Callithrix jacchus: one gene and its partners. The protein of the gene in region 1 purifies or fractionates together with the protein of each later gene. This does not show direct contact. Links are inferred from orthologs where the notes say so. Each region holds a gene or a part of one and is shown on either strand. Other genes may lie near its edges. The genes, in order: PPP1CA, PPP1R18, PPP1R9A, PPP1R3D, RASSF7, CAPZB and PPP1R37.

Region 1 (4,184 bases):
GTTGGGAGCTGAGAAAAGTGTCACCAGCTGCCTCTTGGCAAAGAACTCATAGCCATCTTCTACCACCTGGGTGCAGACCAGAGCAGTCAGTTCTGCATGCTGGCACTGGCCTCCCTTTCTCCCACCCCAGGCCAGAGCTGCCAGCCCACCTGGTGCGCCCGGCAGATGAGGTCCAAGTCGTGCTTGTGCAGGAACTTGGCCACCACCTCGGCTCCGAAGGTAAAAGACACGCCACGGTCGTTCTCGCCCCAGCCTTGCACGTCCTTGTCAGGGTCAGACCACAGTAGGTCACACAGCAGGCCCTGGTCAGGCACGTCTGTGGGCCGCATGATACGCCGGATCTGCTCCATGGATTGCAGGTCTGGGGACAAGCCTGGGGGACCGGGGGAAGTCCACATCCTCAAACAAGGACATCCTCACTCCAGGAAGCTGTGGCCAATCAGCCTCACCTTTCCCACTGCCCCCTTGATTCCTCCACAGGTCACCTGGGCACCCAGGCGGCAGAAGTCATCCCCTTCCCCTCAGCTTTTGCAGGTTCCCAAAGAGGCACAAAGATGTCCCCGCCCTCAGGAGCGCAGAGCTCCCGGGAGATAGACAAGCCAAGCCTATTCCATGTAGGATGCACAAGGGAGTCAGCGCAGCCCGGCACAGGGGTATGGGAGACACTTCCCAGAAGGAGTGACTTCCCAGATGAGACAGACCTAAGGAGAGCTGGCCCGGCAATGGGGGATGCGGCCAGGTCTCCTTGTCCCCAGCCGTCCCCTCCCTCACCTCCGTGGCAGCAGAAGATCTTTTCATCCACGATGGCTGCGATGGGCAGGCAGTTAAAGCAGTCCGTGAAGGTTTTCCACAGTTTGATGTTGTAGCGTCTCTTGCCTGCCCAGGAGATGGCTGTGAGGGGCCCGCCTACCCCACCCTCCACCTGGGTCCCTGGGCTATTCAGACGCAGATGGGAGGAGAGAGGCTTGGAGGCAAACCACCCTGCACCCTGCCCCTGTCCCCACTCCTGCCCCTGCAGCCTATCAGCCTTCCAGGAACTATTCTCTTTACTTTTTATTTTAACTTTTAATTAAACAGTCTTGCTCTGTCACCCAGGGTCAGCTGGAGTGCAGTGGCGAGATCATAGCTCACTGTAACTTGGAGCTCCTGGGTCCAAGTGATCTTCCTGCCAGAAGTAATTCTAAAGCACCCAAGTCCAATGAAAACTGAGTTCCAATCTGGACCGGCCTCAGGGCTGGCACTCCCCAAACACCCCCACCCATAAGCTGGGCCAAGTACAGGTCTGGTTTATCTCAGCTTCTGGACAGCTGAGCCCATCTGCAAACACATCCTAAGTGCTTAGTAGCAGATGTAAGTGGAGCCTCACCAGGCAGGGCCCTGGGAGCAAGCACCAGAATACCAGCAGCCTTCCAGTCAGCAACCATGCCCCAGACCCCGTGCCAGGCAGGGCAGGGCAGGCACGAGAATGGAGCGGGCCCTGCCTTCGTGGAGCGCACAGTCTAGCAAGTGTCTGTCAGATACGAAGCCAATGTGAGGGTCCCACTGAATAGCAAGGAGCGTTTCGGGACCCGGGCAACCCTGGGTGCTCAGACCACTCACACTCATCGTAGAAACCATAGATGCGGTTGATGCTGGCACACTCGTGGTTCCCACGGAGCAGGAAGAAGTTCTCGGGGTACTTGATCTTGTAGGCCAGCAGCAGGCAGATGGTCTCCAAGGACTGCTTGCCCCTGTCCACATAGTCCCCCAGAAAGAGATAGTTGCTCTCCGGAGGGAAGCCCCCATACTCAAATAGTCGCAGAAGGTCGTAGTACTGGCCGTGGATGTCACCTGTGACCCATGGAACCGAGTAAGCTAGATGCTGGGTCTAGACTTGAACCCAGGGCCAGGACTAGGCTCAAGGGAGGAGGGCTCCAGGAACTTTGTGGGGGCCAGTGCCACTTTTAGGAAGCCAAAGGGGCCTGGGCGAGGCTGGGGGCTGCTCACCGCAGATCTTGAGGGGTGCCTCCAGCTCCAGGAGAATGGGCTGGCTCAGGAAAATCTCCCGGGATTTCAGGCACAGACCGCGGATCTCGTTCTCTGTCAGCTGTACATTCTTGCCAGGCCGCGAGCCCTGCACTGGGGGCGCAATGCGGAGTCAGGACCCTGGCCTCTCAGACAGGGGGAGGGTGGGCGACACGGTGGCCCCGTGGATACCTCCGGGGGCGCCTAGGCCTCCTCGGCCCCTCCTTGCCCAGAGGCAGCTGTTGCTGCTGAGCCTCCTGGGACGTCGGCCTCAAGCCTCCCAAGGGAAGCCCCCCTAGTTATCCTCAAAGGCTCGGGAGGCGACTGTCGTGCGCAGGGGGCTGCCGCCCAAAACCTCACAGCGCAAGACACCTCCCTGGACCGGGCTTCCCGGGTTTCTCCCTCGCCCCAAGAGCCGAGGCAACCCGTGAGCCCCCGGCCGGGGAGAGGGGGCTGCTCCGCGCCTCGAAGCCGGCCCCGGACCTCTCAGGCGCGTCCGCGGGGGGGGGCGGCTGCGGCCACGGAACCTCGCGGCGCGTCCCCGCCCAGTCTAAGCTGGCCCCGGGGGCCCGCCCGCGCGCCACTTCCGGGCTGGGCAGGGGTCCAGGGCGCGGCGGACGCGGACCTTCCCCACCCCGGCCAACCTTCCAGCAGGCGCCCGATGATCGAGTCCAGGTTGAGCTTCTCGCTGTCGGACATGGCGGCGCCGCCGCTCCAGTCCAGCAGCTCCGGGCCCGCTCCCGTCTCCCGCCCTCCGGCTGCCTCCTTCCGGCCTGGCTCTCCTTCCGCCCGCCCCAGTCCGCCCCCGGCCCGCCGCTCCGCCTCCGGGCCTCCCGGGCCCGCCCTGCCCGGCCCCCCGCGCTCTAGCGCCCCCGCTGGATGTGAGGCGCGGAGGCCCAGGGGGCGGGGCCTCGGCGGCGGGCTGGGGGCGGTGTCTGTCGGGGGCGGGGCCGAGGCTAGTTACGCCCGAGAGGAGGCGCCCAGCTCCGTTTCGAGGATGTGGGGCCGGAAGGAATGTGGAAGTTGTTTTTCTCTTTCAAAAGCTGAACAGCCCTTCCCACCCCTGCCCTGGGTGGAGGGTGTCGTGAACACGTTAATAACCGGCTGCCCCGCACTGAGGGTTAACTTCTCCAAATGCAGAAAGGGAAACTGAGGTTCAAGACATAGCGACAGGCTGGTTCAAGACCTGGACCTCGCTTGCACCGAGGACCCCCTTCCTCGTGGGTCTCCGTGGCCCCCAGGCGGCTGACCACACTCAAAGACAGCTAGAATTCCCAGCGCACTTTGGTCCTTGGGGCATGCTAAATTAATATTTTCTTATAAGTCCCATAATTAGCTTTTTTTTTTTGAGGCGGGTTTTGCTCTGTCCCACAGGCTGGAAGGCAGTGGCGCGACCTTGGTTTAATGCAACCTTCCCCTCTTGGGTTAAAGCGATGACAATGCCTCAGCCTCCAGAGTAACAGGGACTACAGGCGGATGTCACCGCGCCCGCTAATTTTTGTATTTTTATTAGACGGGGAGTTTCCATGCTAGCCAGGCTGGGATCACAGGCCTGAGCCATCACACCTGGCCCCATAATAAGCTTTGAGTAGCACAGTAATATTGCAGGGTGTGCACGTAAAAAGAATTATAAAGAGTAGACATTACATGAACCGTAATTACTGTTGGAACCCTGAGTTGGGTGCTTTACACACCAGTAACCTCAAAACTGGAGGTGGGCTGGCCATCGTGGCTCAGGCCTGTAATTCCAGCACTTTGGGAGGCTGAGGCATAATGATCTCTTGCGCCCAGCCTGGGCAACATGGCGAAACCTCGTCTCAACACAAAACACAAAAATTGGCCAGGCACCGTGGCTCACACCTGTAAGCCCAGCACTTTGGGAGGTTAAGGCAGGCAGATCACAAGGTCAGGAAATTGAGACCATCCTGGCTAACACAGTGAAACCCCGTCTCTACTAAAAATACAAAAAATTAGCTGGGCATGGTGGTACGTGCCTGTGGTTCCAGCTACTCAGGAGGCTGAGGCAGGAGAATCACTTGAACCAGGAGGCAGAGGTTGCAGTGAGCTGAGATGGCGCCACTGCACTCCAGCTTGGGTGACAGAGAGAGAGAACGTATCAAAAAAAAAAAAAAAAAAATTGTGCTCACTTCGGCAGAACATATACTAAAATTGGAACGATA
Region 2 (4,055 bases), on another chromosome or scaffold:
CTAAGAAGTCTGGCTCGGCTGTTCCCCTACCTGTTTGTGGTGTCTTTCGGGGGACCCCTTGGCAAGGCAGCTGCGGCTGAGACGGAGGTAGCCCCCCAGAACCAAGATCTCCTCGGCAGTTGGGTACCGCTTCTTCCCAGCCCCCAGGGCTGCAGCATCAGCTGTGGCTGGAGAGGCTGGGGTGGCTGGGGGAGTCGTAGGGAGCACAGACCGCCGGGGGTTGACGGTGAAGGTGTGTCCACTGCGGCGGGGGGCCCCCACCCCTGGCCCTGCTTTCACCCCATAGAACAGGCGGCTCATGAGGGGATCCCCAGGAGGTTGGGGGGCAGCTGGGGCTGGGGGTGGGGGAGATAGAGGGGCTGGTGGTGGGGGCTGGAGTTCCACTGCTTCTTCTTCCTGCTGTCTCAGGCCTCCAGTCCCAGCGTCCTCTGGTGGGAGGGGGGAGGGCACAGAGCAGCAGTTCTGCAGGGCTCTCAGAGGCCTGCCCTGAGCTCCCGCCTCCTCCTTCTCAGCCTCCCCTTCTCCAGCTTCCACACCGGGAGGCTCCAGACGCTTTTCCACTGACTCTGGAGGTTCTGGTTTCTGAGTTTGAGCCTCGTTGTCGTTGGGTGTCCATTCTCGAGCGTTCCCAGAGTTCAGGGTCCATTTCCACCCTTCTGTTGGCTTCATGCCCCTCTCACTGTCTCCCATAGGCCTCTGTTCTGCAGCCTCCACTCCTGCAGAACTGCTGCCTTGGGCCTCCTTTGTCAGGGTCTCTGACAGCTCTGTAGTCTCTTCTGGGGCCACCCCTGGAACTGGCCTCCCTTCTTTTCTCCTACATTCTTCTGAGTAGCCTTTTCTTTCTTCTCCTGACCTCAGCCTCCACTCTGTTGCCTCTGGTTGTACCAAACTCTGTTCCTGAGACTCTCTGGAGTCAGGTCTCCATTTATGGGCCTCTGTCAGGCCCAACTTCGGGTAGGCAGATTCCCCTGGGCTCAGTCTACTTTCCACCTCTTTTCTTCTGGGGCTTTGCTCTCGAGACTCTGCTAGTCTCAGACTCCGCTCTGGAGTTTCTACAGGACTCAGCCTCCATTTCCGTGCCTCTGACAGTCGGGAGCTCTTGTCTCCCGCCTCTCCTGGGCTTTGCCTCCAGTCCCGAGCCTCCAGAGGCCTCAGGCTCGACTCTTGGGCTCCCCCTATCCCCAGCCTCCTCTCTCTGGTCTCCCTGGGACTTAGTCTCTCTTCTCTTGACTCTCTTCTCTTGGGGCTCTGATCCCGCATCTCCCCAGGGCTGGGTCTCCGCTCCCGGGCCTCCAGAGATCCAGGCTTTCTCTCAGCTAGCAGCTCTTCACTCCGTTGCTGCTGCTGCTGCCGCTCCTGCCGGATGAATCGGTTCTGGTGCACTGGCCCGATGGCCTCCTGAAGGACCGCAGATTCATCTGTGTCTGCAGGTCCGGCTTCTGCAGTCCCTGGCACAGGGCTAGGCTCCCCAGGGGACAGCCCAAGCTTGGCCCGGCGGCGCTCCAGAAGCCCTCGCTTCCAGGCTGGCATCTGGGATAGGCGCTCCCGTTCTGCCTTCTCCCGGCCTCTAACGGACGCCTCCTCCTGCCGGCGCCGGGCTAACAGCTGTAGCTTCCAGTCTGGGATGGTGGTCATGGTCGCCTTGAGGTGAGGGTAGGGAGCACTGGGGGCAGAGAACAGGAAGAAGAGGCTCCAGAGAGGCCCAGGGAGTGAGACTGAGGGTGGGAGGGGAGGAAGTGGAGGGGGAGAGGTGGGACCACGAGCAGGGCAGAGGAGCTGAGGATGAGGACCAAGGGAAAGAGGGACGGCAGAGAACAGGGGAAATGGAAAAAGTGAAGAGAAGTTATGAGCCCAAGTTGGGGGTGGTGGGGGCGATGTGAGAGGAAGAGTCCAGATTGGAGGCAATGAGGACAGGAGCCAGATGTGGCAGTACAGGGTTAATGCGTATTAAAGACAGTCTCTAGGATGTGGGAAACAGAGAATGGGAGAAAAGAAAAGTTGCTATGAGGGTGAAAAGAGAAAAGGGGCAGGGATGAGGGGAACCCGGGTGCAGGCCTGGCTGCCTCAGCGATACCCCAGGGAGGTGAGTGTGGGAAGGAAGGACCGGGAATCCCTCCCGAGGAGGGCAACGGGACCTGAGGGGGTGTCGAGGAGGCAGGGAGGAGCGGAGAGCGAGCAGGTCTAGGGGAGAAGGGAAACCAGGGAAGAGGGGAAGGGAGCGCGGCGGTAGCGGCCGGGAGCGTCTCAGCGCGGGCCCCAAAGGTCCCTGCTCCGCTTCCAGTGCCGCTGGGGCCACGCCTCTCCCCAGCCCCCACCCCTCTGCCCCGCACTCCGCCCCCGAGGCGGGTCGGGGGAAATACCCACCCCGGGACTTTCGGAACCCGGGCGTCGGGGCTGCCAGCGCGTTCCCAGAACCCTGGTATCCACCCCCACCCAGTCCCGTCAATACCGCCTGCCTCCCCCGCCGTCTGCGCCCGGCGACCCCGGAGTGCCGAGGGCCGGCTCCATGCCTCTTCTCTCCAGCGCCTGCGAGTCCCATGCCCGGTCCCCGCTCTCATGGAGCCGTGACAGAGCCAGCTGTCTCCACCCCGCTCTGGCTGCACAGACTGACAATCTCGGCACAAAGAGGAGACAGCCAAGGTCCGGGCCAGGGACGGGAGCGAGGAGACACCCCCTCCCCAAGTCTAAGCCCCTCAGTCAACTCACACGCCGTGGGGCCCCCCTGGGAGGGGGTGCGGAGGAGCCGGGCGTCCAGAGAGAGGAAGAGGAGGAGAGAGGGACCGAGGGAGATCCGGAGACTGGAGGGAGGGGAGGAGGAGGGAGAGGAGGAGGGAAAGAGGCAGCAAAGGAGGAGGGACGGAGACAGAGATCAGGGGGCCGGGCGGGGGCGGCGACCGCTTTGTCTAAGGACAATGAGGAGAGGGAAGGGGGCGCAGGGCGGAGCCCGAGGGGAGGGCGGGGCTCCCTCCCACCGCGCGTGGGACTGGCTCTGGGACTGCCCCCTACTCGCCCCAACCCCTGGTCCTCTGCTCTGTGTCCCCAGGGGCCCTCAACCGCTTCCCTCCCGGTAGCCCTGAAGAACCCAGGTGTCCAGATCCCTTCCCCCAGCTCGCCGACCCAGGGCGGTGGCCCGTGACTCAGGCCCCTCGTGGGACTTTGGGAGGAAGCGGCAGCTGCTAGGAGCCGGGCCCGCCCTTCCCATCTCCTGCCTCTCAGCCCTCCCCGCGATTTTGCCTTCTCCGGCCAGTCTTTGTTTTTGCCGGGTCGAGGGCAGCCACCAGGAGGCCTTGAGGAGGGGGCGGCAGGAGAGGCGCTCAGAAGCCAGCAGTTTTGGAAGCTCGTTCTCCTACCAGAGCTGCTGTCCCCACTCTTTCTAGCTTCAACCTGCCTCCCATGAGTCTCTTGGTCAGCTGCGGGGTTGGGGAGTGGGGGAAGGGGATTTGAAGGAATGGGGACCCGGCCTCTCTGGCAAAGTGGGGGCGGGTCAGCGGGGGCGCGGTGGTCGAAGGCCAGCGGTTGCCAGAGGGCGTGGTGGCTGCCCAGACTCCACTTCGCGGGCTCGCAGGCTCCCTCTGGCTTTCCTTCCCAAACTCAGCCCTGCAGCTTGGGAGACACTGACAGACTACATGCAGTACGTAGAAAAATCAGGCTTTTATTTTCCTGCAGAGCATCCAGAACAGGAAGCCCCAAGTTAAGAACGGGAGAATCCTCTTGACTAGGTTCAGAGGCAGGGCCTAAGGAGGTGCAGACACTAGGGCCGGGAGTGCTGAGGCAAGGTGTGGGGCCTGGAGGGACAGCCACTGCCTTTGAACTTGCAGACCCTGGTCCAGCTTCTCGGAGTGGAAGCCAGAGGTGGCGAAGTGGGAGGGGGATCCCAGAGGCACAGAGAGAAGCAATGGTGCCCGCCAGCGGAATGGTCAGGGCAGATCCTTTCCTTCTAGGAGACTGTTGAAGGGGAGCATGCCATGCCCTAAACAGTGAGGAGACAGATGAATTCCATACCCTGCTCTTCCTTGCTGGTGAGATGTGGACTCTTGGAGTTCAGTGGCTGAAAC
Region 3 (3,940 bases), on another chromosome or scaffold:
AACCAAGATACCTCTCTTCTTTAATAACCAGTATTGGGTCAAAAAAAGTACCTCTCAAACGGTATACTGTGTCAGAGATCGTTCCAACAGGTGTATTAGGAACTTAGTCACAGTCAAGAGTTACACAAAATGTTTTTTTTTTCAAAGCAAAACTAGGGGTTCATCTGCAATAGAAAAGAATGAATTTCTGAATTCATTTACTTATTTCAATTTATATCTAGTCAAGTAATACATAATTTATTTTCCAAATGGCTTAGCTACGTGTCAAACAGAAGAGATTACTCATTGAAATGGGAAGTTAAAAGTCAATAAATTATCATTCTGATTGGTCTTTGGTAAAAAAGGTTTCAAATACATTTTGGAGATCCCTATCAAAATCTCTCTCTCTCTCTCTCTCTCTCACACACACACACACACACAAAGTTACACATAAGCAATACTTTAAACCCACGTTTGGTCGCTTTTGTGAATACCCTTAAAAGAAACCAGCAGTTCATCAATCTTTAAGAAATCATCAAACTGTCCAGAAAATCAACTTCACTTAGGATTCTCCACAATCAAGTAGAACTTATTCTTTCTAAGCACAATTAAGTTTGGAATCTGTTTACAAACTCTAAAACATGCCTACAGAGGCTTATTTCACTTTTTCTGCTCCAATATTCTCATCTACAGCATCTCCAAAACAATACTAATGTAATTTCAGACCAAAACAAGGAGAAAAAAAGTTCCTGAATGGCAATAAGTTTCACTCTAAGTTCAGTTATAACAAGTATTTGGAAGTTTCCTAACAGTGGTTATTAATTATGGAGTGGGATGCAGACTACCATGGGAATAAACGCATAAGAATGTGACAATCAGAAAGCAAATATACTGTGACATCTCTTTCCACAGCCTTGATTTGTTTATTCTTTCTTGCCTCTAACTTACTACAGTTCAAAACGCAATGCATGTTTGCTGGTCTCCTTTAGCCCACAGCAGGATTGTACATCAATCAGCCAGCAGCCAAATACCTCAAAATACGCTGCGGAGCAGACAATCTAAAGATTTTTCATTTTGTTTTTGTTTTGTTTTGATATTAGACCTAGCCACATCACCTTCACGCACAATCAGCTGAGGAGGCACACACTTTCACTTAAACCGTCTCCAAACTCGGCTCCTGGCCCAGCGCGCATGCATGGCCCATGCAGACAAACAAGAAAGGCTTTGGAGTGTGGTGCCTGTCTTTTCTTTTTTTGTAAAGCATCGACAATTTCCTTTTACCCTGACCATTCTTTTCAAAGCCACAAACACCCTCCCCTCTCCCCTACACACACACCCCATTCCCTCCCCCGCCAATTCCAACCCAAGGAGGCGGGGGCGGAGGCGATGGAGCCGCCGGGGGATTCAAAACCTGCCCTCACAAAAGACAAACATAAATAACACCAACTTGAGAGGCAGCCGATTCCCAAGCCCGGTTCGGGACGCAATCCCTCGACCCTGGGGCAGGACCGGGAGAGCAGGTGACGCCAAGCGCTATGGTAGGAGGTCGCAGTCTAGCTTTGTGCCAAGAAGCACCTGAAGTCCTAACACATTGGCTGCGGCTACCAGCGGCTGCCAGGCGGATCCCTGTGTGGCAGGGAGAGAGACGAGCTCCCTGGCCACATTAAAAAAAAAAAAAAGAGAGAGAGAGAGAGAAAGAAAAAGAAATTACAGGGTAATGAAAATAAATCCCTTTGTTTTTCCTCCCAATGTGCCAGGAAACAATAGATCCCACTGATATTGCCTCTGATCTTCAACCTATTGCTCCTCCACCACCACCCACCCCCACCCTCAGCCTGCAACTCAGCCTTTGTACAAGCCGATTTTTTCCTCCTCTCCACCCTCCCAACTCCTCGCCTCGCGCACAGCCTCCCCCTTACCCGAGCGGGAGCGCCGCGGGCGGGGAGGGTCGGGCCGCCACGGCTCCCACCCCCTCCTCGCAGGCGCCCCCCGCCCCACGGTGGCCGCGGCGACTCGGCTCGGCGCTGGCCCGCTGGGTGCCCCGCCACCCGTTCCTCACGGCGCAGCGCGCAGGGCTGCTGCGGCGGCCGCTTCCACTCGCGCCTTGGCCCCCACTCGCTCCCTTCCCGCGGCGGGCGGCCCCGGGAGGCAAGCTGCGCTCCCCAACGCCATTGCGGGCGGGCGGCGGCCCGGGCAGCTACGCGCGCGCACGCTTGGGCCGGCCTGGGGCCACGGGTGCCGGCCGTGAAAGGGGTTTGGGCCACGTGTGGTCGCCACGCCACGCCGTTTGGGCAGCTAGGGAGGCTGCGGTGTCATGGAGGAGAGACCGCGGGGATGAGGAAGGCCAGGGGTAACAGGTGCCTCACCTCGGCTGATGGGATTAACTCTAGGGCCGCAGAGAGAGGGAGCCCGGCAGCAAAATCCCGGGAGAGGGAGAGAGAGGGAGCCTCTGGCGGCCAAGTAAGGGCGAAAAGCACCGGCCCGAGGCGAGGCCGCCCCACCCCCTCGGCCGTGGGCTAGGGGCCTCTCCGGCCTAGGGGCAAGGCCGGCTTCCGGTTCGGGTATTGGCTCTGGAACTGGGTTCTGAGGGGAACAGCTGCCAGGGGCCTCACTTAGTCTGCAGTTAACTCCGTGACCCCAAGGTATCCAAATCCCAGGCCACTCTGCTGGCCAGGAAGGCCAAGACATAGGCCCAAGTCTAGAGTGGCCTTCACCTAAGCCACTGTGCCTGGTCTGCTACTCACCTTGACCTTAAGGTCCCACTGCCAAAGAGAAAGGGATGAGGAGGTCTTCTGCCTTTTCTGTCTAGGGAGAGTTTTTCAGCCCACGCCCCCCACCCCCGCCCTTTTCTAAACACTTAGTACACCCTCTTCCACCCCCAAATACCGGAAGTGTTACCACCTTCCTGCAAAATATAAAACTGATCATGACTGTCAATACAGATCTTTAAACCAATCCTTCCAAAAAGCCTGAGGAGCAGGAACCCTTAAAAAATTTTCAAGAAGGTAAAAACATGTCAATGGAAGAAATATAAGATGAACATGGGTCAAAATTTTTACAGCTCTTAGTTAGAAAGGGAACCTCAGCAAGATACTACAACCCATTCATGTGAGACTGTGAAGAATAAACATATAGGCAAGAAGAGGCAAAGCTGCTTAATATTCTATAGAGCAGTAAAATGTTTATTATCTGCTTTACAGGGCGGTAACCAGTTGTATCTCTAAAGTAACTAAATAAATTTGCATTCTGTAGATAATATTCATTTACATATTACCAAACGATTCTACAGCTTACTGAGTAGTAAAATAGCCTAGAGAAAGTCACTCTAAGGTACAGACTACTTTAAATTCACAACACTCTGGAGCCCTGTGGATAAGATCCAGCATTCCATTGAAAGGACAAACAGTAATCTTTTGCTCATTTCAATGTCTTTCACAAGTTTTCCCAACATAACTATTTTTAACACCATTTCACTGACGGATAAACTAAGGTTTAAATTTTATAACGTATCCACTTCTCTATTAGCTATTAATAGTGAATAATTATGGCTGGATATGAACCTTGGCAAGTCCGTACACAGATTCTATATAATCTGGTAGCAAAATCTTTTTATTTCAAAAGGATTTTGTAGCTACTCAATACTCAATTCTATGTATTTTTTTAATTTTAAACAGTGAGGGCTTATTTTTTCTTTAAGCGTCACCAAATTCTGGGTCCTTTCCCAAGAAACTGGCATTCTCTGTCTATGAAGAGGATGTCACTTCTATAAGCATAAACAGATGTAACAGGCAATGTGAGGGGGTTGTGGTTCCAGGCTCCACTTTTGGAAAGAACATTTGTGCTGTCTGGGATAATCTAGTGGAAAAGTTCTTGTCATTTATTTGCAGTATGGAAACCAGGTTTTTTAGGCAAATAACCTAAATAAATGCAGAATCTAATCACTGAGTTCTGTCTGTAGAAG
Region 4 (4,146 bases), on another chromosome or scaffold:
GTGTCCTTTCGGTATTGATTTGACAGATGCCAACAAGCATTCAAAAGTTTAGAATTAATTCCCTGGTGACAGTATCATAAAATTGATCACACTGGTTTCAACTGTATCACAAACACACTTCACAAACTGGAGATCTGATCCTTCTTGGCTTTTTTTTTTTTCACACCTTAGTTCTAGCACCTGTAATCAGAGAGACCACTGTTCAGCACCAAAAGAACCATCAGCCTGGAGTTCTTTGGAGTTTTAAGCGATTGCCTAACCCAGGAGGGCACAGTGGTCTTGACTTCTTGGCTGAAGGTTTAAAACAAAAAAGAATTTAATATTTTAAAACTGACAAATCTAGAACATGTTAGAAACCCTATTTGAAGGCACAAAGTATAAAGTTTGTGGGTACCTGATAAAACATGACATATGTAAATACAGCTCCAAACAATTTACAAGTATAAATATTTATCAATTATTTTTCTCTAGTGCTCTGGCTATTGCTGAAAACACCTTCTAGTTCCACCTTCTAACTGGATTCCCAAAAGATAAATACTGACATCCTCTGATGCTTAACAAGAAATAAAAAGAGTCACCTTAATGGTCAAAAAGGTAATCACCTTAATGGTCAAAAAGGGCACTGTTGCCTAAAATTCTCTAGTCACCTGAAAATTGAAAAAACGAAGGCAAGACTTCTTAAAACGTTTAGGAAGTTTCAGACTTAAACAGAATGGCCTGAACAGAGAAATACATGAAATCAGAATTGTGACTGCAGAGAAAGAACTGTTTTGCTAGTTTAAGTTTGAAGCTTTTCCCCTCCTCCCCAGCTGTTAACCTAAGAGACACACAGCCCCACCAGGGCTGTCTCAGTGCCCAGGAATGGTTGTGTGATGACTGATAATTTCTTGCCTATTAATAGTTTCCCACTGTTAGAAGGCTACAGCCCATTGGCAAGCAGATGTGGTCTCAGGTTTTCCTTGTCGTGGGGCAGGAATGCCTGGAGGGACCATGATGTGGGTCACACTGTACATTGTTTACTGTGGGCACAAACACACAACAGACCTTTTTTTTAGCTTATTAAATCGAGAATATTCCTGAGGAGGCATTCGCTATGAGCTAAAGGTCCCAACATCACAATAATAAATAACAGCTATGTTTACAGAGACACATTCAGGACACATGCAAAAGCTCTTCCTAGCAGGAGGGGGCCTTTCCAAAACAAGCTGCTTGGGCCTCCCCAGAGGGCCCACCCTCCCATGCACCTACCCCACCACCGTGCCCCAACTCATTACACAAGTCAACTCGGCCTTCCGGCCACCTGAGGCTGCTTTTTAGACCAAGTGACTCAGACATTTCAAGCAGAAGACAGGATGGGCCTCTGCCGGGGGACCTCGCAGCAGAAAATGAGGTCAGAGAACTTGCAGGGTGGCGAAGAACAACCAGATAGATGTGAGGGCCCAGCAGGGAAATGAATGACAGCAGGCGTTGCTTAAGTGTGGAGGCTCCAGGCTGTGGCCCCGCGCGGCTCAGATGAAGTGGATCCAGCTCCCTTCACACTCCCCGCGAGGCATGTGCAGCGCGTGGTTGCGACACGTGAGGCTGTAGTCTTGGCCACCGTTGTTGTCCCAGTACTCGGCACCAGCCACTTGGTAGCGCACAGCGAAGTGCACGAGGGAGCCGAGCTCCAGCAGGAAGGGAGGCACCGGGAAGCCGAAGGTGAAGACGTCCTCTGCGCCCTCAGTCCCCGCGGGCCCGCGCCACCTCGCCACCGCCTCGTGGGTGCTGCGCCAGCCCGAGAAAGTGTAGCGCACCGCCACCTGCTTCTCGAAGGCCACGTTGCACACGCGCACCGTACCGCTGATGCCAAGGTCCGAGCAAGTGACACGCTCCAGGCACACCAGCTGCCGCCGCAGGCGCTCGCCAAAGTCGGCGGCCTCGACGGGCGGCGGGAAATCGGGCACCAGACACTGCAGGGTGAACTCCAGGTCTTGGCTGCTGCAGCACAGGTCCGAGTTGATGGCAAGCCGCGACAGCACGTGCAGCGGCACCGACGGGTCGTCTCCCGCGTTGAACACCTTCACCTGCGCCAGCTCCAAGCCCAGGGCGTCAGCGAAGCGCACGCGGAGCTGCCGGCTGCAGCCCGGCCGACACCCAGCGCCCGGCGCGCCCGCGGCCTTCTGTCGGCGCTCGGGGGAGCTGGGCAGCGAGCGCGCTCGCCGCAGGATGATGGGCCGCAGGCGGGGGTCGCAGCCCGACGGCGCCGGCGTGGGTGGCGGCGCGCGGCCCGGGCTCCCCGGGGGCCTACAGTGCGGCGGCTCCAGAGCCACGTTGCTGTCCAGGTCCGACAGGCAGCTGAGGCTCCGGGGGGCGAGCTTCCGGGATCCCAGGGCGCTCGGCAGAACTGCGGAGCTCGGGCCTCTGGACATGGCCCCGCCGGCCGTCGGAAGATGGGGAGACAGGGATGAGGGGATGCCTCCCGACCCCGCGACAGCTCCCTCCGTGCTCAGAAGCCGCCGAGAGTCCGCCGTGTCTGCAACCTACGGGGGACCGCTGGGGCCCGGCGCGCCCTACTCTTGTTCGCCACCTTGCCCCTGGAGTCCTCGCCCGGGTCCTCCGCTTCTTGCAGTTTAAGAAATTTTAAGAGACGAGCTCTTCTCTAGTGGAAGCTTTCAGAAGCCTCCCGGGAACTCAGGGTAGCGCCTCTTTTTTTCTTTCTTTCTTTTTTTTTTTTTTTTTCTTGCTTCCTTGGAGGTTCTTACGAGAAGGCTGCGTTCTGGGAGCGGCCCCTCCCACTTTCCCGGTCGGTGGCGTTACTTACGAGGCTGCAACTCGACCGGGTGCAACTTCCCAGAGAGCCTCCGCCCCGCCCCTCGTGACGCCACCTGCAGGCGGGCCCCCGCCAGCCCGGGCCGGGCCTGAGAGCTCCGTGGAGCTGCGCGCCGCCGCCTCCAGCTCCACTGCCGCAGCGCGCCGCAGCCAGGCCTCGCCGCGCGGGTGCCGGAGACGAAGGAAGGCTGGGAGCCTCGTCACGTGTGCGCTGCAGTCGCGAAACAGGTCTGATCAATGTCTGTTTACGTCTGCCTGGACCGCGCGCCTATCGATCCCAGACCCTGTCTGCACAAACGGAGGACAAGGAAAATGCATGCTGCGTGTCCTTAGATTTCTGGGTTGTGGCGTGGGGAGCGGGGGTGCAAACACCGGCATTGCCAGCAGCTGGCCCCGGGCTAATTGTAAACGTCGCGGCTAGCCCACACTTTGGACGGGTTCACTGCAACCTAGACCCTTGGCCAGACCGCGGGAGCGTCGCTGCGTGGAGGAGCAGCCTCCTGTCCGCATCACCCACAATGCTTTGCCGCCCCGAAAGGCCCACAGATTCCCCGCAGGGTGGGGACTTGAGGCGCTGCTGTTGTCTTCCTGGACCCAACGCCGGAGAGGAAGACGGGCAACCAGAGTTAATACCCGGTGATGACTTCCGCAGCTGCCCTTAATCAGCCTCTGGCGCTTGGGGAACAGATTTGTAGACAGAGTCTCCGACTTTCAGCTTTGTTTCCAAGCAAGCCGGAAACACCAGCGAGGCCTGGAGCTCGTTTTCTGCATCCTTAGAACCCTGCAAGCCTTCGTGTCTCTCACCGGGTAGCTCTGAGCACAAAACCCCACACAGACTTTGGTGTAAATCTTAACCAGGTGAAATGAGTGAGAAAGATCCAGGTCCACTTTCCAGAGAGCAGTTTGGGGCCAAGCATTCCACTGAGAAGGTTCCTTTTTCCTGTCCAGAGGGACAAAGCAGAAAGAAAAAAGGACTAAGGAAGGGGGTTATATTAAAGAACATTTTCTACATCTAAAATGAGTCAAGCTTGTTGATTGTGGTATAATTCATTAAATGTGAGAGAGTGATTTTATTTATCATCGGATGTGAGCTAACTAAAAAGGCTTACATGGTTATTGTGGAAAAAATACAGGAAAGTTTCAGGAAGAAAATATCTATAGTCACATCTCTTTTATGTTACAGAGACAGGTGATATGGGAAAGAGAAATATCCAATTTCCATTCAGCGCACTTTTAACAGGCCGCTCAAAATGGGAGGGGAATAACAGATATCTGTGGTATGGGTCAACAGTATTTCACAAAGAGAGAATAAGTAATATGTATGAATATATGGAAAAT
Region 5 (4,047 bases), about 6.9 Mb from region 1:
CACCCGGACCCGCTCAGGCCGCAGCGGCGCTCGGGGTCGCGACCCAGACCTCGACCCCGCGCATCCAGCGGACTCCGGGTCTGAGCAGCCTCCGCCAACCCAGGGAGCCCCGCCGCCCAATCGCTCCTTTCGCCCCGAAGTTCCCGGTCTCCGCCGCGGGCACCGATGCCCGAACCACAACCCCAGCCTGGCGGGAGCCCGGGCGTCCCAGCTCCGTCGGGTGGGCGCAGGTGCGGCGACGCCCCCGCCCTCGGCCCCCCGCCCGGGCCTCGCGGAAAACGCTCCCCAGTTGGAGTTGGTGCCCGGCCGGCTCGAAGCAAGCCCCGCACTCGGAAGGCCCCGGGACCCGACGCGGCTCACCTGGGCGCTCGCCAGCCTCGCGACCCGCTCGGGCACCGCCGCAACCTGCCGCCCCCAGCGCCGCGGCGCGCCCCGACCCCGCGCCCCCATTGGCCCGCGGCCCGCGTGCCCCGCCCTCCAGCACCCCTATTGGCTTACCCGCGCGGGTGTCCCGCCCTCCAGCCCTCGTCCATTGGCTACCTCCGTCACGCCCCTCCCCGCCCCATTGGCTCGTCGCCGCGCCCCGCCCCCAGAAACTCCAGGTGTGGGCGGGCCAGAGGGCGGGGCCTAGATGCGGCCCCCATCCCCTATCCTGCGAGGTACGCGGAAACGCGGCGGCTGCGGCCCCCCGGGCGGCGCGTCGGGGCAGGTGTCTGGCCCCGCTCCTGGGCGGACTTCCTCAGCCGCCTTCCAGTGTGGTGGGTTCCTGCCCAGGGAGGGTCGCCGGCCTGGGCTCCCGCAAACCCCACCTGTGCTCGGGGGCAGCGGGGCCAGCACCGCCCCTCGCGGCCCCCGCAGCCGCCGTCGCCTGGACGCGCAGGGGTCTCAGGCTAGCAGGTCACAAGTCCCCGGCTAGGGACGTGGAGCCCTGTGGGGCTGGTGGGCGCCGAGCCCTGGTGCGGGAGGTGCGCGCTCGGGAGAAGGCCGGGGCCCGGGCTGAGGCTCTTCTTCCCCGACACCTGCCTGCCCTTTAGGACCCGGGGCCGGGCCTGGCGCATAGCGAAGCCGGCTGGAAGCCGCTCCTCTGCCCTGCTGTCCCGGCCGGGGTCCGCAGCCTCGTGGTCCGCCATTCATTGCCTATTCTGCCCAGCTCAGAACGAGTTGTGGGCGTGGAGGGGCCTCCTGCCGGCCTGTCTCCTGTGCTCCTCTAGGGAGGCCTTACCCAGCCGACAAGCTGCAGAGATGGAGGGCGAAGGCTGGAGTGCTTGGGTCAGGTCTGGCCTCGCTTTTGTCCAGGAGGAGAGGGAATACTTGTCATGATAATGGCAATGCCCAAAGGGGTCCCTGGGGGTGGCCCAGAGGGTGTGGAGATGGCTGGAAAAGGTGAGGCTTCCAGCTTGCGGGTGAGTGCTGGTCATTGAGGTCGAAGGGGCTGTGGGCCCGGCCTGGCGGTGCAGGCAGGCACCTGTAGTCCCAATAACTCTGGAAGCAGAAGTGGGAGGACCACTTGAGCACAGGAATTCGAGGTTACCATGAGCTGGATCACACCAAGGAACTCCAGCCTGGGTAACAAAACAAGACCTTGTCTCTAAAAAATTGATTATTGGCCGGGCGCGGTGGCTCAAGCCTGTAATCCCAGCACTTTGGGAGGCCGAGGCGGGTGGATCACGAGGTCAAGAGATCGAGACCATCCTGGTCAACATGGTGAACCCCCATCTCTACTAAAAACACAAAAAATTAGCTGGGCATGGTGGCGCGGCCTGTAATCCCGGCTGCTCAGGAGGCTGAGGCAGGAGAATTGCCTGAACCCAGGAGGCAGAGGTTGCGGTGAGCCGAGATCGTGCCATTGCACTCCAGCCTGGGTAACAAGAGCGAAACTCCGCCTCAAAAAAAATAAAAATAAAAATAATTATTAATTTAAAAAGAGGCTGTGGGTGGGGTGTACTACTGTAAGTTAGCCCTCACCAGTCCCCAGCTTGTCACTGTTACCTGTCTGCTTCCTGTCCCCCACGTACCCATGGCTATGCTGGCCTGGCTCACAGGCAGCAATGCCCCATATGTGTCACACTGCTGCCACCAGGCTGGGTAGGGGGTGCTGAGGCCTCCCTCAGTTTGAGGGTGTTGGCCACTAAGTGGTTCCCCGCCACCCCAAGCTGAGCAGTGGCTCAGTCTCTCACACCTCCTCCAGCCTGGGCTGGCTCAGAACTCACCCAGGGGCCTGGTCTGGGGTCTCCCTGGAGCCTCCAGGTAACAAACAGCCCCTCCCCTTCTGGGTGCTGGTATCCAGGGCAACGGTATAGAGCCCTTCCTTCCCAGGCCTGCTTGGAGCTCTGGCCTCAGGTGAGTGCTGGGGGTGGGGTCCTGAGCTGGGGAGACCAGAGAGAAAGAGAAGGACACCACGTCACTGGCAAAGGTCAGAAACACACAAGTGTGGACACCCATTTTGGGGCTCCTCAAATAGCCACCGCTGGGCGGCCCCAATGTGGCCACACAAGCACACCCAGCAGACCTGGCCCCCCCACTCCTCCCAGCTCCCAAAGAACATCACGAATGGCTCCCAAGTCTGGCCCCGGGGCTGAAGAAGCCAAGGAGGAGGCTCTCTCGTCCTCCACAGACCGAGAGTCGGTCAGTGGTCACCTGGGACCTCCAGCGGGCACACCTGCAGCCTCTGCGACTTCCATGACACGGGTGGCCTGCTCTGCCAACCCGCAGTAAGGATGGGAGGGAAAAGTGGTGAAGCTCCTGGGCCAGATGGCTGGGGCCCAGCCTGAGCAAGAAGCGGGGGACACTGTCACTGCAGGTTGGCTCCTGAGTCCCTGGATCCTCGCACGCTGCGGCTGCTGTGGGGGCAGCGAGAACTAGAGATCCAGGCCTTGCGGTGGGCGGTCCGGAATGGCCGGGACACCCGGCTCTGGCACATCCTGCAGGAGGTGGCGGGGCTTCCGCCCAAGAGGTCTGAAGCACAGCATCCAGCCCAACCCAACCCTGCCCTGTCCTGGCCCGGACTCCTGGTTTCTGACCCCAACCCCAACCGCCGAGTCAGATCCTTTCCCTTGTCCTTGCCCACGCCGACCCTCCACCCTGACCCTAAGCTAACACACTGCAGCTTCAACCCCAGCCCTGCACATGTGGATGGGTGCCAGGCCCCTGCCCAGACCCGTGGGTGGCTGGCCGGCCCCAGTGCAGCTGTACTGTCTGCCCTTGGGGCCAAGATGGCCGTGGTGCCCCTCCTTCACCACTGACCTGGTGTTAAGAACGCCTGCACGAGCAGGCTGGGGGCTGCTGAGGTCATCCCTCCTCCAGGAGCTCCCACAGTCAGGAGAGGCTCCTGCAGAGCCAGGTCCAGAAGCTGACCCTGCAGCTGAAGGAACAGAAAGAGCAAGCCCAGTGGGTGAGGTGGGGGCACAGGGAGTGGGCGGGGTCCTGGTGTTGGGAGCCAGGCCAGGGCTGGCCTCTCACCCACAGGCCCTCCTGGAGCAGGAGAAGGAGTACCTGGAGGAGCAGCTGCTGGAGACCACGCGCAGGCTCCAGGAGGTAGAGGCTGAGCTGCAGAACTTCCAGAAGTCCTGCCTCCTGCAGCTAGCCCGCTCCTCGTGGGTGGGCCGCATGCTGCAATCCCAGACTGGCAGTGTGGAGGTGAGCGCAAGCCCCGCTGCCCCAGCCACCCTCCCCAGCCCTCACCCTCCCATTGGGTACCTCTGCTGGGGGCCCTGGCCTGCCTGGAAGCCTGCCGGGCTCAGGCTGCCTCTGGAACTCCAGGCTCCAGCGGGGAGGAATCAGGAGGCCTCAAAGTACAGGTGTGGTCAAAGAGGAGCGGTGCTGTGGGGGAGGGTGCCACTCGCCCCAGTCCCTGCCCACTGGCCTCTGGTCCCCTCTGGCAGGTGGTGATGGCAGGGACTCTGATGGACCCAAGTGACCTCTCTGAGAACATTCAGGCCCCCACTGGGGAGGTGAGTTAGGCCTGCCACGTGTGTGGTCTGGGAGGAAATGTGCCTCTTGTTTCCTGGCCAGGGCTTTCGGCTGGAAAAAGACTGGAACAGCATTGCC
Region 6 (3,500 bases), on another chromosome or scaffold:
CTGCTAGTTTCTGAGTTCCAGTTTAAATGTATGTTTCTCTGGCGTTGGTTAGTACCTGGCATTCAGGCTGTCAGAAGTCCCGGCACAGAGCACAGATCTTCATGGGTGGTCTGTGTCCCTGCAACTCATCGACTATGTTTGACAAATGAACAGTCTTGGGCTTTGCCTAAGGTTCTGTGGCCAGCTCACAGCAGAGCCACTCTCAGGTCTCTTAGTTCTCGTTCCTTCCACCATTGCTGTGGCTCATTGAGGTCATATATTAATAAAAATGCCAGGGCTTTCACGACAGCCCCAGGTCTCTCTGTGTAGTGCTTTCTCACCATACCATGGTTCGTATCTGAGAGTGCCTGGTTGGAACCACACATGAAACTTGTCAGCATCCATTCAAATTGAGTTCTGGACAAGTGCTTTTGCTAAAGATTCCTACCTGTCAATTTATTAATTTGAAAATAAAGTTGATTGGAGTTTGGGAGGCTCCATGTTGTAAAACTCCTCCTTTCCTCCCTCCTTCCGTCCCTTCCTCCCAAATATATTAAGCATTTGCTGTATGTCAGGCACTGCCACAGGCACTGAGAATCCTGCGGTGAGTAAGATCGAAGTTTTTGCCCAAGTAAAACTTGCATTCTAGTGAGGGAGACAGACAACTGATCAATGAAAAATTACTCCACCTGGTGTTAAGTGCTAGGAAGAAATTAGCAGATGCTTTTGATTCATAGGTTAATCTCTTGGATAGGAGTAGAATCAAGCCTCTTTTATGCCAACCCCCATTTTCTTGTGAGCTTTCCTACGTTGGGGGGACTCAGCTGCAAGCAGCATGCCTGGTGGGAGAAGGGAAGCAGCTGGCTCCAGGTGGGGTCGAGGCACTGGATCCTCACAGGTACATTTGTACCCCATGTCTGAAGCAGCACAGTGAACTGAGGTACGATCGAGGCTGCTGTTGACATCTGAGAGTAACAGGTGACAGATGATCTTGTCTAAAGGAAGAGAGAGGAACCTGAATATGTCAGGCAATAACATGCGACCGTTTCCCTGTGTCGGACTCTGCCCTGAACACTGAATTCATTACCTCATGTGGGTCCTTAAAATCACATGGGATATCCAGACGGGTTGGTTTTATTATCCCCACCTTACAGGTACAGAAACAAAGTCTCAGTAGGGAAGTAAAATGACTTCCCTACTGAGGTTCCTTATGACCCAAGGCCATAAGGCTGCTTGTACGCAGTGGAGTCAGTAAGTCCAACTTCAGACCCTATTTGCTCAGTCTCTGCTATAATTCAGGATAAACTGGGCTGATTGTGTCAGGACTCCAGCCAGAGAGAATGGGTTCCAGGCAAAAGTTGAGGCCCAACAGACAAGCCAAGGCAACAGCCCAGCATTATAAATGGAGATGCTTAGGGACAGGTATGATGTGTTAGGCGAGGCAGCAGGCACATAGGTGCCCAGGGGTGCTTCACTGGCAGTGGCAGCACGGCATGGCCTCTTCCAGGTCCCAGTTGCCTTGGGTGGAAGCTGTTAGACCTTCCTTTTCTCAGCCAGGACTTCCTTCCAGGTGAAGGGCTCTGTGGCCACCCCTGAGCAGGGGTGGGGCTAGGAGGGGGCTGTTTGCCACCAGAGTGTGCCTTTGGCATACACTGTCCTTCCCCTTTGCTGGACATTAAACCAAAGTTAGAGTGGGAGGAGTAGGGCCTTTGGACTCATATGGCCCTGGTTTTGTTTTCTGTCTCCACTGCTTGCTTCTTGTGTGGCCCTTGGGTAACTCAGTGACTCCGGGCCTCAACTCTAATCTGTAAAATGGGGCTTTACATACCCACTTTGCTGAATGTGTGTGAGCTTTCAAGTCAATGACATGCTCTATGTAAAGGGCCTAACGTAGTTCGTGGTGCATGGCACGCACATGGAAATGGTAAGGGGCATGATATATCACCAAAACCAACTTGGAAAATAGCCCCCATTTTGTTACGTTTGTTTAGAAAGGGCAGATACACCTGGAAAAAGAATTCTGAAAACAAGCACAGGTACAGGCCAGCCCTAGGCCTCACACCTATAAGCCCAGCACATTGTACACAGAGCTTGGTGGTGTATGTCTCTCTCTTTGAGTGCTGTACCCTGTGCAAGAAACAGATCGTCTCACCACGGCCAGAAATTCTATGGGTTACGAGGCAGGGTTACAGTCCTTTCTTCAGTTGTGCTGGATATTGCTTTCCAAGCTGAGTTCTAAAGCACTCTGGAGGGGTAGCAGAGGAGCCCATGGAGGCTGGGTAGTCTCTGTGGTGGTGGGGCTCCCTGTCCCGGTGTCTTGGACGGTGGCAAGGGCCTTCTGGAAGAACACAGGAACCACCATGGCTGTCACCCTCTCTGCCGAGCCGCTCTGCTGGTGTCTTTGCCGTGCAATTTAACTTTTCCATTGGGAAGAGTTATTGGTGCAGTTGGCAGGCGCTTGCCTGGTAAACGATACAGTGGGGCCCCCATAAACCCAGGCCCATGAAACAAATAAGTCAGCACATTGAAAATATAGCATGGAAATGACTCAAGCCTGAAGGAATCCATTTCTGAAAGTACTGCCATCCCTTTCTGGGACATTTTGGTGGAAATCGATGTTTGAGTTGGGAGGAGGAGGCCCGTGGCCTGGTTACTTGCAGAGCCTTGTGTCAGAGTCGCAGCACTGGCCCAGGGTGTAAGTCCTGGCAGCCCCCGACCACGGGGTCATCCTTCTCGGTGAGGCGGCCCCCTGGCAGGCCAGACAGGGGTGAGCCCAGTGGGGTTCTGTGCTGTGGGAGCCGGGGTGAAGCTCTCTTTGCAGTAGAGAGAGTTGACTCTACGAGCCAACTGGTAACACTTGGCTAGGGGCCTGGAAAGTACTGGAAACTCCGCCCAGCATGGGAGCCTGTGGGAGTTCTCCGGCACGGACGAGTTATTCTTCTCTGAGTTCTTTAGATTCCTGTGTATTTGAAATGCTTACCTTCTTCTCAGGACTTCGGCTTGTACTTTTCCCACCAGAGACCAATACTAAGCACATACACACTTAAATTTACTAGGCCACCCTGGTGACCAGGTAATTAAAGCTGCACACCCGTTTTTGGAAGGAAGACTGTATTAGAAATCACGCTCCACTGTAATTCAAGAATGGGCTTCTTTATAGAGGGACACAGTTGGTGTCAGACACACATGGAAAAGAAAAGAACAGGCCCGTGATCTTGGCTCAGAACCCAGGGCCAGATGTTAAAGGTTCTGACCGTAACACGGCTGCAGCATGTTACCACCTGAGTTTGGCATGCTGTTTTAACCTCTGTTTCGACCTTGTCCTTTCTCTCTGCCAGGTCCCCAGTCTATGTGAGGATCTCCTGTCTTCTGTTGACCAGCCACTGAAAATTGCCAGAGACAAGGTGGTGGGAAAGGATTACCTTTTGTGTGACTACAACAGAGATGGGGACTCCTATAGGTGAGCTCACGCCCCGGGGATACAGCAGGCGCAGCAGCCATTTGCGGGCTGCCGTGGGTGC
Region 7 (4,238 bases), on another chromosome or scaffold:
ATCCAGCCCTCTCCTAAATCCCATGGTGAGAGTATTACCACCTACTTTACAGATGGGAAAACTGAGGCTCAGGAGCTAGGTAACCAGTCTGAGGTCTCGAAGGCTCTGACCTGGAGCCTCTGCTCTTGAACCACCCTGTTCTGACTCTCCAGGTCTTTCCCCTTCCTGCTCTGAACTGGATACCATGCTATAGCCAGGGGCCATTCTGACTGTGCCCTGGTCCCAAACTAACCACCTCTCCCTGGGCCGTAGAGCCCAAGGACTTGGCTGGCTCCCAGTGCCAAAAGTCTCTTTTTTTTTTCTTGTTTTTGGACAGGATCTCTGTCACCCAGGCTGGAATTCAGTGGCGCAATCATAGCTCACTGCACCATCAACCTCTTGAACTCAAGTCATCCTCCCTCTTCAGCCTCCCAAGTAGCTGGGACTACAAGCATATGCACCACACCTGGCTAATTTTTCTATTTTTTTTAGAGATGGCATTTCACCTTGTTGCTCAAGCTGGTCTTGAACTCCTGGGCATGGGTGATCTGCCCACGCTGGCCTGCCAAAGTGCTGGGGTAACAGGCATGAACCATGGCACCCAGCCCAAAAGTCTTAATTTAACCACTGCCAGCCAGATCACCTGAGGTCAGGAGTTTGAGACTGGCCTAGCCAACACGGTGAAACCCTGTCTCTACTAAAAATACAAACACTTTTAGCCAGGTGCGGTGGCAGGCGCTCGCAATCCTAGATACTCAGGAGGCTGAGGCAGGAGAATTGCTGGAACTCAGGAGGCGGAGGTTGCAGTGAGCCGAGATCATGCCACTGCACTCCAGCCTGGGCGACAGAGGGAGATTCCATCTAAAACAATAATAAGAAGAAGTAACCAAACTCATTCATGATGGACTCCCTGTGTGTTCAGTTTCCAGTTACCACGTTTCCCACCCTCACATCAAAGCCACCACTTCCTCCACTGTCCACAGACCGGCAAAAGTTTCTCCCCTTACCCTGGGCCAGGAGATCAGCTTCTAGAGAACCACAGCCAGTCCAATCCCTCACTTCATGGGCTCCACCCTAGCAGGATTGACAGACTTCTCCAGCACGAAATGAACTCAACACTGCCCTGCATCTCCCAAGCAACTTCCACCTTCCCAGCCCTATGGCTCCAATACACTCCTTTCAGCTCCAACACTGACCTGACCCTCTTCAGTGGGCTTGCCCCCTCTCCCAACACCTCAAGTGGTCAAACTTCTTCAGTTCTCTCACCTGCTAATAGCCAGCAACTCTAGCTCCTGACTTGATAACATCCTCTCATTCTTTTTTTTTCTTTGAGGCAGAGTTTTGCTCTTGTCACCCAGGCTGGAGTGCAATGTTGTGATAGCTCACGGCAACCTCTGCCTCCCAGGTTTAAGCCATTCTCCCTGCCTCAGCCTCCCAAGTAGCTGGGATTACAGGGCACACCATCATGCCCCAGGCGATTTTTATATTTTGAGTAGAGACAGGGTTTCCCCACGTTGGCCAGGCTGCTTTTGAACTCCTGACCTCAAGTGATCAACCTGCCTCGGCCTCCCAAAGTGCTAGGATTATGGGAATGAGCCAATGCATCCAGTATTGGCTCATTCTTTCTCAGGAAGGAACAAGAAGACCCTTCCACAGTCATGCCCCAAACATCCTCTGCTCCTGAACGACTGACAGCCTTCCTTCTGCCGTTGGCTTTTCTTAACACCACACTGCAGCTGGAGGCAGTGGTTCACGCCTGTAATCCCAACATTCTGGGAGGCCAAGGCGGGAGGCTCGCTTGAATCCAGAAGTTCAAGACCAGCCTGGGCAACATAATGAGATATCATCACAATAAAAAGAAAAAACAACACTGCCTCTGACTCCCTTACCTAACCACAAATTGACCACCAGCCCTGCTCCTCTTCTGGGAGCTTACCAAGTTCTCCACAGTCACAGTTCAGGTTTATATTCTTCCTCTTTCCAGCCAAGAAAGTGACCAACACGATCACTCCCTGCCCCGAGGCTTGCAGACCAGCAACTTAACCTCTTTTTAGCCTCAGAGACCCAGCAAACTCTTACAACTGCCCTTTCAGGGCCAGTGTTGACCTGCTCCTCCTCCCTTTACTGCTCTCGCTCTCCTTTTCTGGTAGAACTACGAACGCAAAGGCTGCCACCCTCCCCATCTGACAAACCACCAAACTTTATTTAATGCTCATCGTTTTAAACCCTAAAACGATCACCTCCTTTGTCTCGGGTGGGTGGGGTGCGGCAGAAACCAGATACTTTTCACCTTCCCAACTCCACGGCCACCTTCTAACAGCCTCCGACTCTAAACTGACGACTGTCCCCTTAATTAGCCATTAGGTGCAATCTATTGAACGCCACCTCTGAACGGGGCTCTGCACCGATCCCTCCCGACCCCCGGGTCCCCCTCGAGCCCGCCCCCGCTTCTCCCGCAGTAGCTACCATGTCTCCAGGGGTCTTTGGGCTCCACTGCACCAGACACGATATCCTCGTCGGACGGGAACGTGACGCGCTTGGCTGCAGCCTTGAGGCGCCCATCCGCGGGGGGCGAGGCAGGGCTGGGAGACCCGGCCTCAACGGGGGCCTCTTCAACGTCGTCGTCTGCGCCCGGCCCGGGCGGAGCCTCCTGCGGCGGGATCTCCATAGCCGCCGCCGGCTCCTCCTCACGGGGGCCCCGGGGACATGCCCCGGGCCCCGGACTTGTCTCTCCCGGCCCGCCCGCCGTCCCGGGGCATGGGCTCCGCCACTGCTTCAGGCGCCGCCTCCGTCCGCTCTCCTCGTCGTCGTAGTCGTCGCCGCCGGGAGCCCAAGCGCGCCTCCGCCGAGCCCCGCGCGCGCCTGCCCGTTCGCAGTCACACTTTCGCTCGAGGCTGGCGAGCCCGTCGCTTACTAAAAGACGCAGAAAACCGATTTAAGTGACTTGCAGGTCGAGTTGTCCCGCAGGTGACATGAAGAGGGAAACAAAAGGCAGAAAGGGCCACGGAAAAAAAAAACGTGAGCAGCGAATCTGCAGAGCCGGAACTGCAGACCATGGGGGCGGGGCGAAGTAGACGCCGTCTCCAAGAGCAGCGCGCAAGCGCGAAGCTAAGCCCACGCCTCCCCGCCTGAGTCCAGATAACGAATATCAGCTCCGCACATTCGTCAAGAGCCCAGGGAATGGAGTGGATAGAAATGAAAATATCTGATGGTTCGCGGCGGCGGCTCATGCCTATAATCCCAGCACTTTGGGAGGCTGAGGCAGGAAGATCGCTTGAGTCCTAGAGTTCGAGACCAGCCTGGGCAACATAGCGAGGCCCCGTCTACAAAAATATTTTAAAATTTGCAGGGTCTGGTGTCGGGCGCCTGTAGTTCCAGCTGCTTAGGAGGTGGGAGAATCGCTTGAGCCCAGGAGGTTGAGGCTGCACGGAGCTAGGATCCCGCCCCTGCACTCCAGCCTGGGAGACTGAGCAAGACCCGGGAAAAGGCTCGCTCAACAAAAGGAAATAAATATAAACATGGAGGTTAGACTGATGAAGAGTGGGTAACGGCATGAAGAAGTCGAAACAAAAGGCAGATAGGAACTGCATTCAATATACAAGTACAGTTGATGGATGCTGACAGATAGGGATCCTCTGGAGACAAAGCCTCGGCCCCTTGGCTAGTCACCGCAGTTAACATCAACAGCTCTCTGTACCTAGGTAGAGTTGCATAAAATACAACTTAAATTACAATGCTAAAATAAATAGGAGCCCATGAGCAGTATCATGGGCGATTTTTAAAAACTAAACCTAGGAGAAGGTAGATACTCCAAAGGCCAACCCAAATCCTGAGTGACAAGGCCGGTGGGTCACCGAGGCAAGAACGAACTAGGGCGAGCTCAAGCCACACCCTCCGGCTCAGGCCCAACGGTTGACATTCGCCGCCGCACTTTCGCCACGCTTTCCCTAGCGCACCCGGCAACCCGGGAGAGGCGGGGCTGAAACCATAAAAGGAAACTGGGGCGGAGCGAGCCGCGTCGTTGCCAAGGCAACTTAAGAGCTAGGTCCGGGCCTCTGCGGAGCCGGCGTCCCGAACCCACGGATGGCTGCTGAGGCTGCTCCTGGCGCGGTTCATCATCGGCCGCCGCAATTTCGCGACTGAGACGAAACGACCCTAACCTTTACTTAATGGTAGGCTTCGCTTACATCCTGAACTTGAAGTATCTGCAGAAGGGGGCAGAAACGGCTTTCTTTTTAAACAATGCACTGAAAGGTTAC

Evidence for each region.
Region 2: the proteins of PPP1CA (region 1) and PPP1R18 purify together in Homo sapiens (affinity purification with mass spectrometry; 5 studies listed by BioGRID and IntAct, counting the BioPlex papers as one, with this or other methods). This does not show direct contact. The link is inferred for Callithrix jacchus from reciprocal best matches to the Homo sapiens genes PPP1CA and PPP1R18.
Region 3: the proteins of PPP1CA (region 1) and PPP1R9A purify together in Homo sapiens (affinity purification with mass spectrometry; 3 studies listed by BioGRID and IntAct, counting the BioPlex papers as one, with this or other methods). This does not show direct contact. The link is inferred for Callithrix jacchus from reciprocal best matches to the Homo sapiens genes PPP1CA and PPP1R9A.
Region 4: the proteins of PPP1CA (region 1) and PPP1R3D purify together in Homo sapiens (affinity purification with mass spectrometry; 3 studies listed by BioGRID and IntAct, counting the BioPlex papers as one, with this or other methods). This does not show direct contact. The link is inferred for Callithrix jacchus from reciprocal best matches to the Homo sapiens genes PPP1CA and PPP1R3D.
Region 5: the proteins of PPP1CA (region 1) and RASSF7 purify together in Homo sapiens (affinity purification with mass spectrometry; 3 studies listed by BioGRID and IntAct, counting the BioPlex papers as one, with this or other methods). This does not show direct contact. The link is inferred for Callithrix jacchus from reciprocal best matches to the Homo sapiens genes PPP1CA and RASSF7.
Region 6: the proteins of PPP1CA (region 1) and CAPZB purify together in Homo sapiens (affinity purification with mass spectrometry; 3 studies listed by BioGRID and IntAct, with this or other methods). This does not show direct contact. The link is inferred for Callithrix jacchus from reciprocal best matches to the Homo sapiens genes PPP1CA and CAPZB.
Region 7: the proteins of PPP1CA (region 1) and PPP1R37 purify together in Homo sapiens (affinity purification with mass spectrometry; 3 studies listed by BioGRID and IntAct, counting the BioPlex papers as one, with this or other methods). This does not show direct contact. The link is inferred for Callithrix jacchus from reciprocal best matches to the Homo sapiens genes PPP1CA and PPP1R37.

Annotation. Positions count from the first base shown.
Region 1 is NC_133511.1:124,477,355-124,481,538, forward strand, and holds the start of PPP1CA (serine/threonine-protein phosphatase PP1-alpha catalytic subunit), read right to left. Parts: upstream 2,801-4,184; 5' UTR 2,704-2,800; coding exon 2,649-2,703; intron 2,119-2,648; coding exon 1,987-2,118; intron 1,831-1,986; coding exon 1,600-1,830; intron 877-1,599; coding exon 772-876; intron 374-771; coding exon 150-373; intron 67-149; coding exon 1-66. UniProt on the Homo sapiens protein: Protein phosphatase that associates with over 200 regulatory proteins to form highly specific holoenzymes which dephosphorylate hundreds of biological targets.
Region 2 is NC_133505.1:35,482,941-35,486,995, forward strand, and holds the start of PPP1R18 (phostensin), read right to left. Parts: upstream 2,801-4,055; 5' UTR 2,509-2,800; coding exon 2,450-2,508; intron 1,664-2,449; coding exon 31-1,663; intron 1-30.
Region 3 is NC_133512.1:54,748,844-54,752,783, forward strand, and holds the start of PPP1R9A (neurabin-1), read right to left. Parts: upstream 2,801-3,940; 5' UTR 2,724-2,800; intron 2,455-2,723; exon of another isoform or gene 2,346-2,454; intron 2,181-2,345; exon of another isoform or gene 1,899-2,180; intron 1,634-1,898; exon of another isoform or gene 1,427-1,633; intron 165-1,426; 5' UTR 1-164. UniProt on the Homo sapiens protein: Binds to actin filaments (F-actin) and shows cross-linking activity. Binds along the sides of the F-actin. May be involved in neurite formation. Inhibits protein phosphatase 1-alpha activity.
Region 4 is NC_133506.1:55,556,082-55,560,227, forward strand, and holds the start of PPP1R3D (protein phosphatase 1 regulatory subunit 3D), read right to left. Parts: upstream 2,801-4,146; 5' UTR 2,409-2,800; coding exon 1,509-2,408; 3' UTR 1-1,508. UniProt on the Homo sapiens protein: Seems to act as a glycogen-targeting subunit for PP1. PP1 is essential for cell division, and participates in the regulation of glycogen metabolism, muscle contractility and protein synthesis.
Region 5 is NC_133511.1:131,332,673-131,336,719, forward strand, and holds the start of RASSF7 (ras association domain-containing protein 7), read right to left. Parts: upstream 2,801-4,047; 5' UTR 2,712-2,800; coding exon of another isoform or gene 2,532-2,711; intron 2,367-2,531; 5' UTR 2,211-2,366; intron 1,483-2,210; 5' UTR 1,419-1,482; coding exon 1,223-1,418; intron 759-1,222; coding exon of another isoform or gene 166-758; exon of another isoform or gene 1-165. Other genes in the region: LMNTD2 (lamin tail domain-containing protein 2), read left to right, coding at 166-758, 2,532-2,711, 2,801-2,953, 3,304-3,391, 3,481-3,636, 4,012-4,047. UniProt on the Homo sapiens protein: Negatively regulates stress-induced JNK activation and apoptosis by promoting MAP2K7 phosphorylation and inhibiting its ability to activate JNK.
Region 6 is NC_133508.1:56,290,987-56,294,486, reverse strand, and holds part of CAPZB (F-actin-capping protein subunit beta), read left to right. Parts: intron 1-3,317; coding exon 3,318-3,439; intron 3,440-3,500. UniProt on the Homo sapiens protein: F-actin-capping proteins bind in a Ca(2+)-independent manner to the fast growing ends of actin filaments (barbed end) thereby blocking the exchange of subunits at these ends.
Region 7 is NC_133523.1:39,285,729-39,289,966, reverse strand, and holds the start of PPP1R37 (protein phosphatase 1 regulatory subunit 37), read right to left. Parts: upstream 2,801-4,238; 5' UTR 2,648-2,800; coding exon 2,446-2,647; intron 1-2,445. UniProt on the Homo sapiens protein: Inhibits phosphatase activity of protein phosphatase 1 (PP1) complexes.